Mus musculus: one gene and its partner. The protein of the gene in region 1 purifies or fractionates together with the protein of each later gene. This does not show direct contact. Links are inferred from orthologs where the notes say so. Each region holds a gene or a part of one and is shown in the gene's direction. Other genes may lie near its edges. The genes, in order: Rrm1 and Rrm2b.

Region 1 (3,819 bases):
TATGGGTCCCAGAGATCAAACTCAGGTTATCAGGTGTGGCAGCTGTCCCCCTGGCTCCCGAGTAGGACTTTGGTGATAGGAATCACAGTAACTAGGACACACAAGTTAAAATTAGCACAGCACTGAATTATGTTTTGTTTTGTTTTTATTTTTTTGAAGGTTAATGATAGTTTCATTAGCGTTTGAGAAAAACAAGAGGGCAGGCAAGCTATAAATATTATCAACTGCAAGGAGGGATCTAAAAGAGGAAGAGAGAAAGCCATGCCCCTTTAGGTTAGGGTCTGAGAAAGTAGGCAGCTTTAGCAGTGGTGTTCAGTGTGCAGCTGCATGTAGGAGGAGAAGCGACTTCAGAGAAAGAAAGCCAGAGCAACAGGGAAAGCAAAACAGAACAAAAAGCAAAAGTAGATGCAGGCTGCGTGGCAGAGGCTCTGTAAGCAGCTGCCAGTCTTGATGGTGGTTTTTGTTCCTTTTGGTTGTGAAAAGTAGTATTGACTGGGTGGGGTTAAGGGTCATCTGAAGGACTCTAAAGCTGCCTGGTTTTCTGTGGTCTTAGCGGATAGAAAATAGATTTCAGGGTTGGAGAAATGGTTCAGTAGTTAAGAGTTTTTGCACAGTCTTGAGGCCCTGATTTAGATGTCAGATAACTAGATGACAAGCCAGGTGTCCTGGAAATACCAGTAACTCAGCTCTGGCTTCCGTGTGCCCAGGCATGTGCCCAGGCATGTGCCCTCACAACACTCATGCACATATACTTAAACAGACACACAAATAAATAGAACCAACCTTTTTTTAAAAAAAAAAAAAGTCATTCATTTTTTTCCCTCATTAGCAAAGCTTTGAGAATTTGCCTAATTTTATATTTTTCTGTATTCTTCCTAGGGTGTGAATGTTGAGATAATACTAGCTTTGTCTTTCAGTTACGAGAAGCAGGGTCGTGTCCGAAAAGTTGTAAAAGCTCAGCAGCTTTGGTATGCCATCATTGAGTCCCAGACGGAGACCGGTACCCCATACATGCTCTACAAAGATTCCTGTAACCGGAAGAGCAACCAGCAGAACCTGGGAACCATCAAATGCAGCAACCTGTGTACAGAAATAGTAGAGTACACCAGTAAAGATGAGGTAGGCGGAGAGACTGACTGCCTAGCACACCGAGGGACTGGAGAGGTGGTTGCTGCTTGTCGCTCCCTCACTGAACCCAGTGGTTATTTGAAGTGGTTGAAGGAGATTTTGTTCCCCAGGACTGAAAAGAAATTTTGTGGTGGAGTTATGTTAACTAAGCTGCATTTTAAAAACAATAATTTAAGTACCCGGGAGCAAGGAGAACGGAATGCACCAGGGAGTACAGTTAAGAGCTGGGCAGTGGTGGCACACACCTCTAATCCCAGAACAGAGTTAGGCAGATAGATCTCTGAGTTTGAGGCCAGCCTGGTCTATAAAGTGAGTTCCAGGACAGCCAGGGCTGCACTGAGAAACCCTGTCTCGAAAAACCAAAAGACCAAAACCAAAACCAAAAACCTATTTCAGTATTCTGAATAGTGCAACTCATGTGACTGATAGCAAGAGGAGTAGAATCCATGGGGTATAGAAATTTGCTGATAAATGATGGGAAACCATGATTTTAGGGGGTGGGGATTTTGCTGAGTTATAAAGAGGTTCCCAGTAAAGACTAATACATTCCTTGAGTTTGGTCCTCTGCACCAGTGTTGGGGTGATTGTAAGTTTTCACATCTGATTGTTCCAAAGGCTCTAGTGATCTCACTGATACAGGAAGAAGAAGTCAGGAGTGTGTGTGATTCTGACACCTTTCTCTGGATTGCAGGTTGCAGTTTGTAACTTGGCTTCTCTGGCTCTGAATATGTATGTCACACCGGAACATACGTATGACTTTGAGAAACTGGCAGAAGTCACTAAAGTCATTGTCCGAAATCTGAATAAAATAATTGATATAAACTACTACCCTATTCCAGAGGTATGGATAGATTTCTCTGCTTTATTGATCATTATTGAATCCAGATGGAGGACATTTGTCTTAGTCTGGCTGTCCCCAGAGTTGGTGTGAGAGAAGGAAAATGAAAAGGTTGTGTGTAAGTGTAGAATGTGGCCTTCTGAGTTCAGTGATGTTTTCTTTTCTTTTTTTCCTAAACCTTTTGGCACAAAGGCACACTTATCAAATAAACGCCATCGGCCCATTGGAATTGGGGTACAAGGTTTAGCAGATGCTTTCATCCTGATGAGATACCCCTTTGAGAGCCCAGAAGCCCAGTTATTAAATAAGCAGATCTTTGAAACCATTTACTATGGAGCCCTGGAAGCCAGCTGTGAACTAGCCAAGGAGTATGGCCCCTATGAAACGTATGAGGGATCTCCAGTCAGCAAGGGTGTAAGTAGATGGCTGATTTTCTGTTGCCTGTGAGTATGGGGAATGAGCTGAATGGCCCCTCCTCCATGGGACCTGGGAGGGTGTGCTGGGTTGTGAGAGGGTCTGTACAGATTTAGTTAAGGACCTTGAGATGGCATTGTTTTGGATTATTAAGGCCTAGATTTATTCAAGTGCGCCCTAAATCCAGCAATCCCTGTTCTGCAAGAGACCGGGAGTTATGATATTCCCAAAACCTGTTCGTTCACACTAGTAGACTAGGAGATAGATTAATTATCCATGGTCTGGGACACCAGGGACTGGAATCTGGGGAGGCCTCTTAGAGTTGATTTCCTTGCTGCCTTTGTCTCTTCTTTATAAAGATTTAGTTTTGAAGTTTGTTCTGATACTTAGGAATTCTAATATGTGATTATTTGAAATTTGGTATTCTAGGCCAAATAAACAGATGAAGGAAGCAAAGAGCAGAGTGTGCTTTATTATAAAAGGAATGTATCTCTTAAAATGTTTAATGACTGTTAAGATTTCCTAGTTTGTCGATCCTCAGGAGTGTGGTGAGGTCCCAGGCTGCTTCTGAGCAATATGCTTAATGGAGCCATGTCTAAGACTCAGTGCAGCTAACGTCCCTTAATGTGTTGACTACAAGATGCAGTGGCTGGAATGTGGGGATATGGCAGTTAGTTATTTTAAAAAAATTTTTTTGGTCATTGTTTTAAATTGCCCCAAAGTAACATCATAACTGTGGGGTATTTATCTCTTAGATTCTTCAGTATGACATGTGGAATGTTGCTCCTACAGACCTGTGGGACTGGAAGCCTCTCAAGGAGAAGATTGCAAAGTAAGGAGTGAGGTGTAAAGGACCCTGGAGGCCGGAGGCCGGGCTCTTCTGGCTCTTCAGGAGTTGGATATGCTAGTGTGACCTCTGAAACTTATAAATTATCTTCTGAAATGGGGCTAAAGTGACCTACCACAGAAATGGCTTTGGAAAGTATAAGAAAATAGTTACATGAAAGTTGTTTGGCATAGTGAAAGCCTTTCAACACACAGTAGGCATTTCAGTGGGAGTTGATGTTATTTGAGGAGCTGAACAACCATGCTAGTCAATTTTTTGTTTTATTTTGGTTTTGGGTTTTTTTTTAGATAAGTGTCTTACTATGTAGCTCCGAATGCCCTGGAACTCATGTAGATCAGGCTGGCCTCAAACTTGGAGATCCTCCTGCTTCAGCTTCTTGAGCACTGGGACTAAAGGCATGTGCCATCACTACCTGACCCAAATAGGTCTTCGTTTTAAAAATGTTTTTATTCTTTAATTAATTGATTTAATTTTATTTTGTGTGTGTGTATGTATGTATGTATGTATATATACACACACATACATACACGCACACATGTAGTTTTTCATGTAAATGTGATTGAATATGACATATTCTGAGACTTTTTGGTGT
Region 2 (3,621 bases), on another chromosome or scaffold:
ATATTCTTTACTATGGAATGGCAGTTTTTGTTTCATAGTTTCAATAACATAGCAGTTTGCCTAGCTGAAAACAAACTAAACAGTCACAAAATGAGTAAGTAAGTGACTTAGTGAGGTAAACTTAGCTTAGGACCTGCAAAGCTTTGTGACTAGAGACAACTTGATAATCTACTTACATGTGTTTTGTATCACTCGTAAGAACTAACTTAAAAATGAAATTTACTTACCTTCTTTTTAAAGAGTACGTACTTTGTAGGATGTTTTTCATGCTGTGAGGGGAAGGCTGCACATCTTGGCATCTTCTACCACTTTGAAGATGAATTTCATGGTTAATGTGCTTCCACTTTTCTCCATTTCCACTTTACCACTCACTGTCTTTCAGTTGGACTTCAGTTTATCTTCCAACCTCCAAATCCATGTCTGTCCATTCTCATACTCTCTGGAACCGATGTCTCTCTCTCTCTGCTCCTGTTGCAGTCATGCTGCCAAGGTGGTGGTCTTTGTAGAGCTGTCTGTAGAGCTGTCTGCAGGATAAAGCATTCTCCTCTTCTCTGTTGAGGAGATCTAGAAGCTAGGTCCTAGACATTGAAGGATCCAGTAATGTGCTATTTTCTACTTAACTTTGGTGCCCCGAGAATGTGAAATCATACGATTAATACTATCCCAAACATTTGTAAACAGATGACTATCATGTGTCATGTTAAATTTATTCTGGCATACCTTGCCTTGAGTAAAATCAGTGTCTAGAGTATGAATAATTCTAAACTCCTCCATGTTAGTCACTTCCTCTGTGAGAAACTTAAGGGAAGAAGTACCTATTTTGGTTCATGGCTCAGAAGATATTGTCATAGCAAGGAAGGTTCTAGTAGGAGCTTAAAGTACAGCTTGTTTAGATTTTGGCAGACCAGCAAGTAGAGTTGGGATGGGGAAAAGGCCTTCAAGCTCACACCCAGCGAACTATTTCTGCCAGCCAAGTCTGAGCTCTTAAAGGTTCTATGGCCTTTCTACACAGGTAGGGACCAAATGTTCAAACGCATGAACATGTAGGGGGCATTTCAGATTCCAACCATAATACTTTATATTTGGGAAATGTATGCTTATTTTATTGTTATTTTTTTGTTCCTTATTCTGATTTTGTTTGCATTCCAGGAGTTTTTAACAGAAGCCTTGCCTGTTGGCCTCATTGGAATGAACTGTGTTTTGATGAAACAGTACATTGAGTTTGTAGCTGACAGATTACTTGGAGAACTTGGATTCTCAAAGGTAAATAAAGTGTTTTAAAACATGTGACTAGTGGTTTTAGTTACTGTTCCATTGCTGTGAAAAGATGCAAGGCAGCTTATCAAAGAAAACACGTGGTGGAGCCTTGTTTACAGTTTGAGAGGGTGAGTCCGTGGCTGTCATGCAGGGAGCAGAGCAGAAGGCAGTCAAGCCTGGTGCTGGAGCAGGGGCTCAGAGCTACATCCTGATCTATCATAGACAGGAAGCAGAGAAAACAACTTCAAAAAACACATCCACAGTGACACACCTCCTCTAACAGTCCATACGTCCAGCTCACCAGCTCAAAACCAAACATTCAAATATATGAGCCTCTGGGGTCTATTCTCATTCAAACCACCATACTACCAATAAAATGTTATAGGCAAATAAGGTCTCTAAAGTTAATTTTACTGAAAGTGTTGGAGTCTGCCAAAAACCCCTCACTCATAAAGACCACAGAGACTGCCATCGCTGCAAACCGCAAGAGGTTTTTATTAATCCAACATGTTGCCCCCCCCCCCCCCACCGGTCTCAGCACGCAGGCCAGAGGAGAGACCCCGAATGAACAAAGAACACACTTTTTATACCTTCTAAAGGGAAGATTTAGGCAACAGGTTAGCTGGCTTATTCTTTTGTGTGTTTGTTTTGTTTTTTGAGACAGGTTTTCTCTGTGTAGCCCTGGCCATCCTGGAACTCACTGTGTAGACCAGGCTGGCCTCAAACTCAGAAATCTGCCTGCCTCTGCCTCCCAAGTGCTGGGATTAAAGGCATGTGTCACCACTGCCCGGCTAGCTGGCTTATTCTAATTGGTGTAGCAAGTAACCCTTTCAGACATTGGTTGGTTTGTATAGGGTGACTAAGTAACCCTTTGGCCTAGTCCCTCACTCTGCCTGCTCTTGTGGTTTTTCAGCAAAGCAGCAGAATGTTTTGAACTTATGGGTCAGCTAGTAACATCACAGCTATTATGTCACGGCTATTAACATCAGAGTAATTCTAGCAACAAGGTCAGGGTGGTTTGTGTTTTTTTCAGAATTCAGTGTAGGGTGGGGTAGAGGAATTTTTCTGAAAACTGTTATTTTTGTTGTGGTTATTATTCAGGGTCTCTAAACTTAGTCCTCAGGGTGGTATAATAATCTAGGCACTATCTGAACCAAAACACAAGAGACATGGTCATTCTGACCACGGAAACTATACAGTCTGGAAGTCCCTTCAGAGGGGGGAGGGGCTGGGTGGTCTTGAATTTATTTTGGATTCTACAAAAGCATTTGTAATACATTAATCTACTTTTAAAATACAAGGGACACATTAGATGTGTGATGTTTATCTGTAACTCTAACATTTCTAAGGATCGAAAGTTTGTGGCCAATCTGGGGTACCTGCCCCATCTCTGATAAACAGACAAATACATAAAATTTGTAGGACAGAGACTTGTTTTATAAGGAAAAAATGGTTTTGCAAAAACCTTTGAAACTTTAAATGAAACTGGGAACAGCCATCAGAAACCCTCAGTACCTTAGTGGAGCAGTGTGGCTGTAGGCGACTATGAAGTGGAGTCCTGCCCTCTGGGTTTTGCCATTTTGCCCTTGCTGTGAGATTTAATTTGGATTCTTTAGAATGTCTAATGGCGTTTCTTTTCTTTCCAGATTTTTCAGGCAGAAAATCCCTTTGATTTTATGGAGAACATTTCATTAGAAGGGAAAACAAATTTCTTTGAGAAACGAGTTTCTGAGTATCAGCGATTTGCAGTCATGGCCGAAACCACAGATAATGTCTTCACCTTGGATGCAGATTTCTAAAGCCCTCCTCATTTAAAAAAAAAAATCTATAGAATTCGGCTGTGGTAGTACATGCCTTAGTCCAGTCCTCAGAGGAAGCTGAGGGCACGTGGATCTCTGGGTTTGAGGATGATCAGGGATACATACTGAGATCTATCTCAAAAGCAACAGAACAGCGAAAACAAACAAAACACATGGAAACCTGTTGTTGGTAAATAGCAATCTATTTTTGTCTTTTTGAAACTTTCAGTATCTCATTTAAGGGAATGAGAATTTGAATAGAAGGAAATATAAAACTAAATTCTAAATGATTTAATTTTATCTAAATGTACTTCAGTTTATTTATACAATGAAAGTGTGACCAATATGTCTTTTTTTTTTCCTTTTTGTCATAAGCACTTAAGATGGCATTAAGAGCATAGATTTAGGAGTCAGGTATGAGCTTGATATTCTGGCTTACTCCTTGATGTGACCTTGGCAAGTCAGTTAGTCACTGTAAACGTCAGGATATTTATCTGTAAAATTTGTATAATAGTAAGTCCCAAGTTCATGGAGGTGACCAGAGGGCTAATATACAGAAATAGTT

Evidence for each region.
Region 2: the proteins of Rrm1 (region 1) and Rrm2b purify together in Homo sapiens (affinity purification with western blotting; 3 studies listed by BioGRID and IntAct, counting the BioPlex papers as one, with this or other methods). This does not show direct contact. The link is inferred for Mus musculus from reciprocal best matches to the Homo sapiens genes RRM1 and RRM2B.

The regions. Positions count from the first base shown.
Region 1 is NC_000073.6:102,458,472-102,462,290, forward strand, and holds part of Rrm1 (ribonucleoside-diphosphate reductase large subunit), read left to right. Parts: intron 1-917; coding exon 918-1,119; intron 1,120-1,819; coding exon 1,820-1,969; intron 1,970-2,158; coding exon 2,159-2,380; intron 2,381-3,135; coding exon 3,136-3,212; intron 3,213-3,819. UniProt on the Homo sapiens protein: Provides the precursors necessary for DNA synthesis. Catalyzes the biosynthesis of deoxyribonucleotides from the corresponding ribonucleotides.
Region 2 is NC_000081.6:37,926,680-37,930,300, reverse strand, and holds part of Rrm2b (ribonucleoside-diphosphate reductase subunit M2 B), read left to right. Parts: intron 1-1,149; coding exon 1,150-1,263; intron 1,264-2,903; coding exon 2,904-3,056; 3' UTR 3,057-3,621.